2 linked regions of the Mytilus edulis genome follow. The protein of the gene in region 1 purifies or fractionates together with the protein of each later gene. This does not show direct contact. Links are inferred from orthologs where the notes say so. Each region holds a gene or a part of one and is shown on either strand. Other genes may lie near its edges.

Evidence for each region.
Region 2: the proteins of prohibitin 1-like (region 1) and stomatin-like protein stl-1 purify together in Homo sapiens (affinity purification with western blotting; 3 studies listed by BioGRID, with this or other methods). This does not show direct contact. The link is inferred for Mytilus edulis from reciprocal best matches to the Homo sapiens genes PHB1 and STOML2.

Annotation. Positions count from the first base shown.
Region 1 is NC_092357.1:67,337,351-67,344,674, forward strand, and holds the start of prohibitin 1-like, read left to right. Parts: upstream 1-4,306; 5' UTR 4,307-4,465; coding exon 4,466-4,547; intron 4,548-5,454; coding exon 5,455-5,616; intron 5,617-6,484; coding exon 6,485-6,627; intron 6,628-7,324.
Region 2 is NC_092347.1:39,484,503-39,491,923, forward strand, and holds the start of stomatin-like protein stl-1, read left to right. Parts: upstream 1-4,357; 5' UTR 4,358-4,468; coding exon 4,469-4,510; intron 4,511-7,421. UniProt on the Homo sapiens protein: Mitochondrial protein that probably regulates the biogenesis and the activity of mitochondria.

The DNA.
Region 1 (7,324 bases):
AGTAATTTTGGAGGTGTAAACACGGCCATATTTTTCAATTCCTTATGATGAACCTTAATCTTGACAAAATATAAAATGAAGCAGCAACAGAAATAATAAAGATAAAAAGAGGCACCTTGAGGATACTGTACCACAAACCATCACTAAAAACTAACATTTCAAATCAGAACATGATGCCAGATTGACAATATAATGGCAGTGTTCATAAAAAAAGATATAGAAGGATTTTAAGTTTATCAAAGTGTACAGATACTTTCAATATAAATTATCAGTGTCATCCTAATGGTCATAGAAAGGAGGGAACTACAAAAGAAAAGGTACATGGTTTTCGAATCAAGAGTTATTTCCCCTACAAAACCTAAATATACACGTGTATAATTTTCTCAATTAAAAACAAACTTTTTAAATGTTTTGTGTACTCCTTCGTTAACACATTTAAACAATAACAAGTACATTCATTTACACATGGGATATTTAACGTCATATAAGAAAGTCTAGTTTCTTTTGTGGCGCAAGATGGCCTGATAGCGTCCCCAACATTTTATTCACTTTCAAATTGCAGTTTGACAGTAAATTACATTCAAAAAGGGTTAATAGCAGTTGACCAAAATACACAATGAAGATGTTATCGTTAACTTACCACTCAAATTTTGGTCTAGTCGCCTAAACTTTGTTATTTTCGATTTCAGTTCTCAACCACGTTTTGCATCATACAGCCACGCATGCGCCCAAAAGACCGGTCTGTTTCCGTCTATGAACTAAGTAAATGCAAAAACAAATGTCGGAAACTGATCTGTAATGTTAACGTATTATAAAAGGGCACCTGTTACACCAAGATTTTGTTTACTGTCACTGACAAATCCTTTGTTACACCCAGACCTGCCAACTTTTAAAAATCTCCATGGGGGATTTAGTGCGCGACCATATTTTTAAGGGACAATTTTTGCGGCGTTTCTGTGTGCACTGTTTTTTACTCTTAAAATAGTCTCATGTCTCTTCTTTTTTCTTTTGGTATACTGATGATGATCTTATAAGCCTTGATTTCTTTAATTGGCATGATTCTTGTACTTATTTTAAAATTGACAAAATAACTTAAGAATAGAGAAAAATGGCATTAAAAAAATAAAGGATACTTAGTGAAAACCCCTTTTTCCCCTCCAAAAACCTTATCTTTTGGACCATGACTCAAAAGACATAAACCTATATGTCCTAAAGTTAGAAGGATAAATACAGATTTTGATTAAGTCTATCAGTATTAATGAGAAAATGGATAAAAGTTGAGTTATCTTTCTTTGTGTTCGGAGGTGCTCTTACCGGCGGAGGTTTATTCACAGTAGAAGAATACAAAATGGCGTCGATTTTAAATCAACAGACACATGTCTGATTTCAAAAATTAAATGGATTTCAAGATAAACAATGTTTTTTTAAGAGTTCAATACAGTTCTCATCTTTAAGTTAATTACGATTTCGTTGTGGAACTACGGTAAACGTTGCAAATTGTGCTCGTATGATAAATTGATTAAAAATGAAAGGCCAACTGACCGACTTTCTGTTTACAAATAATAATATTAATTAATATTGAGGATTGTTATGACCAATCAGGTAATCCAATTACTTGCAACAACAAATTATGACACCTGTTGTGACCGTTGATTAGCGTAGTATTGTAAACTTGTCATAATATGTCCCCAGGTAAAATTATAGATTATCAGAAAAACTTCAAAATCGGACACCAAATAATTTTTTCGGGTATATTTTGTGAAAATCGGGATTTTGACTTGTTTTAGAATCCCGATATCGGGATTCGGGTTGAGGGATGAAAATCGGGATGATACCGCGAAAATCGGGATAGTTGGCAGGTCTGTACACCTAATCTGTTAACTTTTCTCTTTTTTTTACTTTTCAAAATAACGCTTAGACTTTTAAAAATTATAATTTAAATGAATCAGGCATGTTTCATTACATGGCGAATAGTTTATTCAATATATGTTTCGAAAAAGTTATTTTGACGAACCTCGTTAAAATTTTAATCTATTTGAAGCTAACAGCAGCCGAAAATGACCGTTTGACGTTTGCCGTTTGATACGTTTCCCTCAGTTTTAGTTTGTAACCCGGATTTATTTTTTCTCTATCGATTTATGAATTTCGAACAGCGGTATACTAGCTGTTGCCTTTATAATTAACCATTTGTAATATATCTATGAAAATTTGAAACTCACTATTGAAAGGGTAATAGATCGTAATAATGCCCTATACCGTCAGGCGTCAAACGGCCATTTTCGGCTACCGTTAGCGTGAAATTTCCGTGATTCGTCAAAATATCCTTATCGTGATTCGTCAGAGGTCTCAAATAATTATCGTTACCGTTATTTGTGGAAAAAAATAACGTGAAAATCATTCCATTTTTTTGGGTCTAAAATTAAGAAAGTGCATAATTTATCGTCATGCACCAAAAATTACCGTTAACGTCATTTGGCAAGAATTTTTTACCGTTATTCGTCATGAAGGTACCCCCATTACCACCCTCTATTAGTAATACTTTAAATTCCTTTCTATACAAAACCATTTCAGTCATAAATTTGAAAATGTGCATGCTGCATGCTGCATGCTTGTGTGCTATTTCTAATAGTGTAATAATTCGATTAAAAAATATTTTCAAAGCCAGTATTTTATAGTGAGGCATTATCATGAACAGAATTTCATAGTGAAATATTGTCCAGAAGGAGGTGACAAAATTTCATGGAGAAAGTCACTATTTCATTATGAAATACTGTCAGTGGACAATATTCTATATGAACTTTTGTCCGATAGACAATATTTCATGGGGGACATGTACAATATTTTAGGTTACAAAATCGGCATGTGGTAATATCGGATGCTCCTAACACGCACTGCTCCATATATGACACTCATGTCATGATGATCATTTTAAGTCTCGCTCAGTTATGTCCAAATCGAGGAAAATAGGTCGGGAGATTGGTAATTCGTTAACGAGCTTCGAATACTCCCGATTCCAAAACGTTTGACAAACCACTATTTATGCAATCTATAGCTATTCCTGGGAGTAGAAAGTCGTTTATAATTCAGTCAGTGAACAATTCAGAGTGTAGAAATTGTTAACATTTGATTGATAAGAAATATGGCCACATCAATGGTAATTAATAGGTGCATCCTTGGCGCTATTTTGCCGACTCCGGCAAAATAACTTTATTTATAAATAGTTTTGCTATTTTGCCGGTTTTAAGATCAAGACTTAGAAGTATACAGATTAAGAATAGAAAAAATATAGAAATATACACTTGGAAAAGAAACCTTATACAAATAAGTCTTCTATAGCACATTTATATATACAAAGCGTCCATATAAAAGTTTATATTCTTTATTTTAATTAGAAGTCTCTAAAACATGTCTTTTTTAAAACATTTTAAAAGCATACATACTAAAACTGATACTAGTTTTCTTTTCTTTAAAAGGAAGTCTGTAAACAATCTGTATTGAAATAGAAGATATGCATTGTTTACTACTTACTAAACATGCAAACCCATATGAAAAATGATAACTCTAATTCTTTTATTGATAAGCATATCATATTAGTTTTTATATAAAAATTCAACAACATCAAAATGCTTTACAAGATAAACATAAATATCGTGTGTACATATGATTTAATGAGCCAGGTCACTATAAGTGAATACACCAGACCTAGGACCCAGGATGCAAGGCGAAAACAGAGTAATTGATCACATCTAGCAACACATATCATTTATGCATAAATAGTTTCAATAAATTTGGATTTCATATATAGTCATATTAAAATCGGAGATAAGACCAGCAAAATAGTAAAACTCTATATAGATCGCTATTTTGCCGGAGCTGGCAAAATATCCACTGCCTAATTTATATCAGAGACATGTAATACGTGACAAAAACAGAAGTCATTACTAACTGCTGGTAGTGTGAACCACTATTTGACCGTGATTTGTCGTGCAGTTTATATATCCAAAGTTTTAAGAAGAAGTCAAAATACATCTAGTTCATATATGTAATAAGCTTGAATGTGATGTTTGTATGGATTTATACTTACCTGAGATATGTTCTATTCTTGAATCTTTTAATTATGAATAGGATCACATTTTTTTGAATATTCTAAAAGTATTTGTCTATATCCTCTAGATAGGTTTTTTTGTCATGGTTAATCATACTACATTAATTTCTTTTTTTTTAAATAAATTGTGGCAAATTACCAAATTACTTCTAAAAAAAACACCCTTCATCCGTATTTAAAACAGGTTCGTATCCGTCGTCCGGTAAAAGTTTTATAAAATATCCGGTTTTCATAGCATGCTGCCTTGACCAAAAAAAGTTGACCTTTCTTGGATTTTATCATCCTTTTTTATTCAGAGTGTGTGACAACAACATTTTTGAGCAATATATTCTTTCTTAACCACCACAAACGCCATAAACAATGTCTTTTCTAAGTAAAATTGGATATCTAGGCCTTGGTGTTGCTCTAGTCGGTGGAGTCGCTCAGACAGCATTATACAACGGTAAACTTCATCTTTTTGAAAACCTTATTTCGTCTTGTCGAAGATGAGTTTGACGTACTAAGATATTGTGTATATGTTAAATTTGACTGACCGTAGATTTGAGATTCGTAATTTAATTTCTAAAATGTTACACAATTATGTAATCAGCTGCACAGCCACAGGTCTAGAAGTCATGTGGGTTCAATAATCGATTCAGTGCCAGTGGTCCTTATTGACCTTCATATTTCAATTTTATTTTAGTATAGTAGAAACAATACTGGCTCTCAGAGGTAAAAATTAACAACAATTGAAATGCATGTGAACTCAAAACAAGGTTGCAGTAAAGTAGGTCATTGACATTGTTCTGGCTTTGATTTCATCACCAGACCTATAACTTACATCAGGTGCAAGACAACTAGTCACTGAGATAAAATGTGCTGATTTCAAAGAAAAGACAACTCAGAACATCTTTTAATTATAAAAAAGAAGATGTAGTATGATTTAAAAGTCATAGTCCGCTATAAAAGTCATCTTGGACCGTCAATACGTAAACTCTGACCATCTATACAATCGACTTGGACAAAGTTATATTTAGTATAAATAGGAAAGATTTGACTACATAAATGAGTTTCTTACATGAACCAAACTTTTTCTCAGAAGTTGGGCTGTCATAATCACATGATAACTCAAAGACTTTAAACAATGATTAGACAAATCAGACTGTGTATCACAACTTTTAGACAATGTTGTTTGATCAGGTTTTATTTAGTACCCAGTTGTCTCTAGGCTGAGTTGTCCTGCATTGTTAACATCATGACATGCATGATTTTTTTTAAGGTTTTCAATATTAAAATCAAATTTTTTATTGGTTAAAGAACACGTATATATATCACAATGATAGAAAATGTATTCTTTTCTATTTTTTCAGTTGATGGTGGTCATAGAGCAGTTATATTTGACAGATTCAGAGGAGTACAAGACATAGTTTCTGGAGAAGGGACACATTTTTTGATACCATGGGTACAGAAACCAATCATATTTGACATTCGATCAAGACCAAGAAGTGTTCCTGTTGTTACAGGAAGCAAAGGTAGGAAAATTTTCCATTGATAATAATATACAACGGAAACTATCGAAAAAACTATTCGTTTGTGATAACTACTAACTACCAGTGGCGGATCCAGAACTTTTCCTAAGGGGGGCCCGCTGACTGACCTAAGGGGGGGGCCCTCTCCAGTCATGCTTCAATGATTCCCTATATAACCAAATTTTTCCCACAAAAGGGGGGGCCCCACCCCTGGATCCGCCTATGACTACAGGATGTAGCTGATTAACTTGATTGTGTTTAAATCAGATGCCTGGTAGATAAAATAATTTTAAAACATCCTAGTACATTATCATGATTATGTTTTGCTTATATTTAAAGGGGTTATGGCATGGGGTATATAATAAATCATTGAGATAGCAATCCATAAGAAATAAAATATACATTTATTAGGGCAACATTATTTTCATTTAGTCTTCAATGATAGCATGATTTCAACTTGTTATCAGAAGGGTAAAAAACAAAGAATATTGAATTGTTTTCTTTTAAAGGAATGTTTCAGCCTCTGCTGCAGGGGAGGGGGTATTAAGTTATATCCTTGTCTGTCTGTTCGTGGTCCATACATCAGTTTGTCTCAAAATTGGCTTTGTTTTTTTGTTCTGAAAAACAAATGTTAAGAAACTCATACACAATGCCTAAATTACATGTACCTCAAAACTCAGATCAAGTAAAAATTTGGGTAGAGTCGCTTTTACAGAACTTTCTTGAGTTGACACATTTCCCGTATATTTATCGTGTTTATATCATGCATATTATTTGCTTATTTTCCCAATTTTGTTAGTATACAAAATCTTTGCACTTTTCTATATGATGGTTTTTGAGAAATCAAAGAATAATCATTTTATGTTTTCAGATTTACAGAACGTTAATGTCACATTGAGAATTTTATTCAGACCAAAGGCTGATGCCCTCCCAAATATATACACAAATGTTGGTCTTGATTACGATGAAAGAATTCTTCCATCCATCACAAATGAAGTCTTAAAGGCTGTAGTGGTGAGTAAATTTGATTAGAGATGCAGCGTCTCTTGTTAACATCAAAAGTATGTGTTTGATTTCACCAGAGCTATCCTATTTCCTACCGGAAAATCACTACACAAATGAACGTCTTGAAATATATTGTCTATTAAAATTAGAAAAATGCAAAGTTATAGTATTGTAAAACAGAAAGAGAGAAAGTTAATGTTAAAAGTCAAGCACACATCTGAAAACTGTTTCCGGAATATGAAACTACCTGGCATACCCTTACCCTTATTCCTTCTGCCATATTCCATTTGGCTGTATTGAAGTAATAATATCTCCAAGATAGACAATTTGATAAACTCAATGGGTAAAAAAATGTAATCTGAAACAAAAATCCCTTTTCTACTGATAATTTTATTTGCATGTTCCTCATTCAACATGTTCAATGATTGCGGTTGACTCAAAAATCTAAATTAAGCACAAACACATTTATTTAATATTTACATTTTTTTCAAATTGTCAATACATTGTTAATTGTTAAATGTAGCCTTGAAAGAACAGAAAATAAAACCCTACCAATCTGAATAAATATAAAGTAAATCTGTATAAGAAGATATGGCATGTATGGTATGAGTGCCAATGAGACAACTCTCCATCTAAGTCACAATTTGTAAAAGGTCAAAGTACAGTCTTCAACATAAAGCCTTGGCTCACATCAAACAGCATGAAC
Region 2 (7,421 bases), on another chromosome or scaffold:
AATAATTCCAGATTCCTTAAATAGTTCACTGGATGGTTTACGAATATCGTGTTCGTTTAAAATAATTCTAGCTGCCCTTTTTTGCAATTTTAGTAAACTGTCAACTAAAAACTTGTTACAGTTTCCCCATACTGAACAACAGTAATCCAAATGTGAAAGAATATACGCATTGTAAAATAGAATTCGTGCATTGTGATTCAAGAATTTCTTGATTCTTTTTAATAAAGCTAATGAAGAATTAACTTTTTTGATTATATGATTAATTTGATCATACCAAGAAAGAGTTTTGTCAACAAAAATACCTAGTACTTTTTCACAGTGACTTTCATTAATCTTTTGGCCATTAATGGATACATTTAATGTGTCATTACACATCACAGACAGTTTTTGTTTTGAACCTATACACATTGTCTTAGTTTTTGACACATTAACTAACATTTTGTTTTCATCAACCCATTGACAAATATTTTCTAATACAACATTGAGTGTCTGACTTATATACCTTTTGTCTTTTCCAATTACAGAAATAGTGCTATTATCAGCAAAAAGATCAAGATAATGATTAGGATTACACAAATGCAAATCACTAATAAATATCAAGAATAATATAGGACCTAAAACGGACCCTTGAGGTACACCTGCTTTTAATGTAGATACATCTGAAAAAGTATTTGAAATTGATACGACTTGATGTCTATCAGCTAAATACGAAGTAAACCAATGAATAGAATTATAAGAACATTTATATTTTTGTAATTTTTGAAGGAGCAGTTTGTGATTTAGAAGATCAAAAGCTTTACACAGATCTAAAAATACTGCCCCTACTAAATTTCCTTCATCAATGGCTTTTAACCATTTATCTAACAAAGAAGTCATAGCAGTTTGACAGGAATGGTTTGCACGAAAGCCTGATTGCATGACATACAATAGATTATATTTGTTTAGAAAATTCATCAAATGAGTTTTTACGTGTCGCTCAAGGATCTTAGATAGTAATAGTAAAATTGCAATAGGTCTGTAGTTAAAAACATCATTTTTTTAACCTTTATTTTTTAAATACTGGTAAAACTTTAGCCAGTTTGAATAACGATGGATATACTGATTTTCTGATGCTTAAATTAAAAATGTGGCATAATTGAACTGAAATTAGGTGTGATGACATTTTTAAAAACTTTGCACTGATATTATCAAGACCTGTTGCTTTTTTCTCATCAAGTGTGATTAATTGATGGAGAACAAATTCACTAGTTATTTGTGGTATGGTAAAAAAGACATTATCTGGTACACGACATGAAATATAATTATCAAGTTTTCCAGAACAACTGGTGCTGTGGTTTGAATTAAGATTAACATTTTCAGTAATATTTGAAAAATAATTATTGAAAGTATCAGCAATGCTTTTAGGGTCTGTAATTGGTTTATTACTACAGTCATTTAAGATTGCATGGTCATGATGATTTTCACTACCATTTACATTATGCAAGTGTTTCCATAATTTGCTTCTATTTCCTTTTTCTTGTTCTAATACTTCAGTATAAAAATTTTGTTTTGAATTTTCTATGAGGTATTTAACCTTGTTTCTCCAAAATTTATAGTTATATGTGTCTTTTTTCTTATGATAATAATCACGTTTTTTCATGCCCTCCATAATTTCATCATTTATCCACTGATTTTGATAAACATGCTTAACTCGCTTTTTAATGAGAGGAGCATGATGATTTAACACTTCAGTAACAATATTTATAAAACTTTGTAGCTCTTCATCAGGGTCATCAATTTCTAGTATACTGTCAAAGGAACACTGAGATAAATGGTGAATAAAATCAGTCTCGTTGAAATATTTTGTAGATCTATAAGTTATATAATCATGAATTTGCTTTTTCGTTTTAAACCCTCTTTTATGAGAAATACATACTGGATAGTGATCACTGATTGAATATTTTGGAACTGCAATATAATTAATATTTTCTGGCAGATAACAATACATATGGTCAATTAAAGTAGATGAAGTTTTAGTTACTCTGGTAGGTTCTGTAACCATTTGACTCATGTTGAAAATATTTTTGATGTGTGACCACTTAGCATGGTTTTTACTTGACATTATATCAATATTAAAATATCCCATAACAATAGTTTCCTTTTCTTCAGTGTCAACTTTTAACATCATGGTTTCAAACATAGTAACCCAGTTAGCATAACTGTTAGGTGGTCTATATACATAACCTAGTAAAATAGGCTTTTGATGAATATTAATAATTTCTATCCACATTGACTCAATTTCTTGCATTTCCAAATCGTCCCTTCTAAGCGTATTTATTTGATTTGAAGTATAAAGTAAAAGCCCACCCCCAGATTTATCAATTCTGTCTTTTCTATGTAAATTGTACCCTAGAATAATGATCTCTTTATTTTTGACACTGTTTGACAAAAAAGTTTCACTCAAACATAAAATATGCGTGTTTGACTTTGATTCCGAAATTAAGTATTGTATTTCTGCAAATTTTGGTAAAACATGGTTTATATTTAAGTGACAAATGTTAAGGTATTTGTGTGGGAATATAAAAGGATTGATCTGGGTATATTTGGAGGATTCTGATTTTTGCTCAAGAAGAAAAATAGCAATACACATATATACAATGAGAATGACTATAGAATGATATAAAATACAATCGTTTGCTTGACTTGAGCAGATTTTAAAAGTTTCTTCTAATTCCAGACGTCTGGACGAAATGAATGTGGATGTTAATAATCTTGATTGGTTGTCTCTAATGGCGCATATCTCCTCCCTGTTATCCTCTCCGAATAAAAATTTTGTTCAAATTGTGAATTTGAATTGTACAATCTAAGAATTGTGTTAACAAAAGAAATAATGTTATGGCTTAGAACTTTAGCACCGTCTACGTTGGTATGTACATGGTCCTGAAAAAGTAATTGATTAGGACGATTGCCGTACAAAAAGTCTAACGTGTTATCCAGTATTTTCACTTGATGTCTTCAACTGTTAGTAACTGCTGGTTGACTTCAGAAATAATTTGGTTTGACTTGTAATCTGTAGGCCTTGGTAGAATTGATGAAATAATTATTTGCGTTTCCGGTAAGCTCTGTTTCACCGTGTGAATAAGATGATGGATTGAATACGAAAAGTAAACATAGATTCGGCTATTTTTTTTATTATCTTCTAAATCAATAAGTTCTATATGTTTGCTGCAAATCCTCATCTTCAAACGCATTGGCCGTTCTTTATTTAGCGATAGTCTACACACATATCTTTGTTTAATGACTTGTGATGTACGATCCAAAATAATGATTAATAATTCCATACGAAATTCCAATGAGCAAACTATTTTCTCGATGATTTCGCAATGTGTTATAGTTCGCGCGAGATGCAGGATTTCCTTTACTATTCTATTTTTAGGATTATTTGTTTACAAAAGGTAATTTATGGTCAGATCGGTTCTTTTTATGTTGTAGTGTAAACGCATTGAATTACATAAGATCGATCTCGTCCATTAAAGATACATTATTTTTTTTTAAATGCTTCCCGAGAACTTAATCTTATAAATAAGTATCTCATATAACTGTTTCAAATCCCACAATCACGGGAATAACTAAGTTCGGGTACATGCATGTTTTGTTTATCAAATGTGAATCAAACCTGAAAATTCGGTGTAAACAATATTTTTGTAACTCGCAACTCGACTTTCTTAACTCGCAGCTCGACTTTCTTAACTCGCAACTCGACTTTCTTAACTCGCAACTCGACTTGTGTAACTCGCAACTCGACTTTCGTAACTCGCAACTCGACTTTTGTAACTCGCAACTCGACTTTCGTAACTCGCAACTCGACTTTCGTAACTCGCAACTCGACTTTCGTAACTCGCAACTCGACTTTCCTAACTCTCAACTCGACTTTCCTAACTCGAACTCGAATTTCTTAACTCGCAACTCGACTTTCATAACTCGCAACTCGACTTTCTTAACTCGCAACTCGACTTTCTTAACTCGCAACTCGACTTTCGTAACTCGCAACTTGCAACTCGACGATAAGAAACCCTCAGTCACATAAGTCCCGCTCGACTTCACACTATACAGATTTTATAAGTCCCACTGACCTTGACTGCTAGTTAAAGTTACACACACTACATGTCTGAACTACTCTATTTAGAATTCAGAACTATGTTACAAATTAAACAAACGTTAGTGGTTGTTCATCTGCTGACATATTACACAATAAAACTGAATCAAATGTTTCTTTTTGTTCAATTATCAGGAAAGTACATGCATATTCCGGAAAGTGGACCGGAAAAGTTTTGTTTGTTATATCGAACTGGTTTACTAATTTCTTCAGTCCTATTGCTCAAGGTTGAAATTTTTAATTGAATTCAGTAGAAAAGTATTTGCATGCTGAAATCTTCTCCCGGTCTTACATAAACATAATTAGAGGATAAACCTATGTATTACAGATAAAATGTTTAAAACACCAAGCATCAGAAGTGCAAGACTAATAAAGGTAATTTTAAAGATCCGTATTCAGAAATTATAGCAAAAACATAGAAGTCTTTTATCTGTTTGCCGTGTCAACAGGTTGGATAGTCTTTGAAAATGAAAGGCGAAATGCCGAAATCGATGGGTCACTGTGAAAACAGTCTGATTATGAGAAAATAAAGGTTGGCAGGTAGGTTAAACTTACATAAATGAAGAGATAAATGAAAAATGAACAGATTGATGCCCATTCATATAATTCCAAGGCCGCCAGTCGGCACCAGAAGCGACGAAGCAGCGCATCTATTTTGGATGGGCAAGTATCCACTTTTTGATATGGGATGAGCTCTGACGTCCCACGGCCCCAGCTTGTCTGGCAAAACAGCCGTTGGACGTCAGAGTAATCTCTGACTACAGGTTGGAAAGATCCACAGATAAAATTGGGATCAGCATTTATGTGTATATCTACCCAGGATCTCCTGTAGTTGGTGATCGCAATACTGGTATAAAAATTTTGTACCAGTATTGTATTCCAGTATTGTACAAGTATTGTGTTTTTTTTTTAAATAAACAATACATATATTAGGTTATTCATCTTGTATTAAAGGTGTCACATACATGTATACATGTATATGCATGATGAAAGTAACATATGATATGACATGAATGATTGTATGTTTTACTTCAGATGATGCCAATGATGATACACTGCGATTGTCATCAAAGAAAGTGTTAAATCTTCTGATGTTTTTTTTCTTAACATGCTTAAGGGAACTGTACATACTGTCTCAGCATTTTAACAAACTCTTTACTTTCTGCTATGTTTTCTTTCTTAGACTAATAGTATGTTTTAGGGAATTTTATATTGGCATGGCTGTTAGGCAGCAACCATTTGATTTTCTGGGGGGGGCTATGGGTTTTTTTTCTGTGCAAACTTTTTTTTTCGCCTTCGGCGAAGAACAATCTATTTTTTTAGCGACAAACCGAAGACAATTTTTTTCTTTCAATTTTAGCATTACATATAGTGGCAGCTGAGGGTGAAACAAACAATTTTTTTTACTCAGGGTCCAAAACAAATTATTTTTTTCACCAAAACCTGGAAACAAACTTTTTTTTCCAAAAAAAAACCATAGCCCCACCCCAGAAAATCAAATGGTTGCTGCCTTACAGCTTCTGTATCATCAGCATTGGAATTGTCTGCTTTTATCATTTGTTTATTTTATTTTATCTAAATTGACTTAAATAAAATATAGAAATATGATAAAATTATTAGCAATTGTTTGATTAATATATACAATGATATAAGTTAATTACAATAATCTTTTGTTTATTTGTACAAGCAAGGATTTGTATAGTATTATTATACAAATCCTTGGTACAAGTATAGTAATTATTTTTAACTGGTTGTTAATTAATTAATTAAGTTCACAATTATCATCTATATAATCTTAAAAGTTTATTTAATGTCCATTTGATCTTTAATATCTAGATTTGCTTAAAATTCATTGCGAAATTCTTTAATTTTACTTTCCGATGTATTGATGATGTTTTATCATTGAACAACCCATACTTCAGCAAATACTTACATCTCATATATCCCAGTGAACTTGAAATTAAGGATACTACTGATACTCGAAGGACTGCTTCATACCTTGATCTTTTCCTCAATATTGACGTAGATGGACGACTTCACACGAAAATCTATGATAAACGGGACGATTTCAACTTCCCAATTATCAATTTCCCATTTCTCAGCAGTAACATACCCTCTGCCCCTTCGTATGGTGTTTACATATCACAATTGATACGTTATTCACGTGCTTGTTCACACTATACGGACTTCATATACAGGAGTGTGCTCCTTATGCAGAAACTGCTCCAACAAAGTTATGAGGAGGACAGATTAAAATTGACACTCCGTAAATTTTATGGACACCATCACGAATTGGTGGATCCATATGATGTCTCTTTAACCAAACTAGCTAAGGACATTTTTACCACATGGTAGATTGTGGTTTGTCATTATGTCGTCTAATCTTTTAATTACCAACTGTGACTTATTCCCGATTGTGACTGTTTTGCTGAATGTGAATTCGCATTACTATAAGACGTGTTTCTGTACTTGTTTATCCCAAATTCATGTATTTAGTTTACATGTTTAATGTTATATTTGTAATTCTCATCGGATTTTGTCAAATGTGTTGACGTCTTTTTATTATATTTAGGTGTTACGGATAGAAAAATTAATCACCGCCTTTATTAATTATATTAAATTTTGTACGATTATTTACGTTTGAAGTTGGATTCATAACAAACTGGACATATATATATTACAGTTAATTGCTATTAATAAGTATTGCAATATGCATTTTGTTTAAATTAATTATCAGTATTTAGTTCTGATATAATCTTAAATCAATCCTAATTCTATCTCACTTTGATAGTTTTTCATATGTGACGTCATGCTGTTTCTAAATTTCATAAATTCAAATGTGGCATAACGTTTGTACCTTTTCGCCATCTTATGTGACGTCACATTTTTGTAATTACGTTGACGCCTGGACTGATTCGGATGTGTCTATTCTGTGTTAAACTTTAATAGCATTATGTATTCGGGTTTAGTTTTCTGTAATTAGTTAATACTTTAGTTTCATTATGTATATCTCTTTCATATTCATTTGTTAAAATTTACTGTTTGCAATAGCATAAATTGTTCTATATAATAAGGATGTTCTTATCCCGGGCATAAAAACAATGCCGTATTTGGCAAAACCTTTTCAACTTTTGATCTTCAGTGCTGTACAACTTTGTACCTTTTTCACTTTCGATCTTTTATATCTGGGCGTTATGTATTCGGGTTTAGTTTTCTGTAATTAGTTAATACTTCAGTTTCTTTATGTATATCTCTTTCATATTCATTTGATAAAATTTACTGTTTG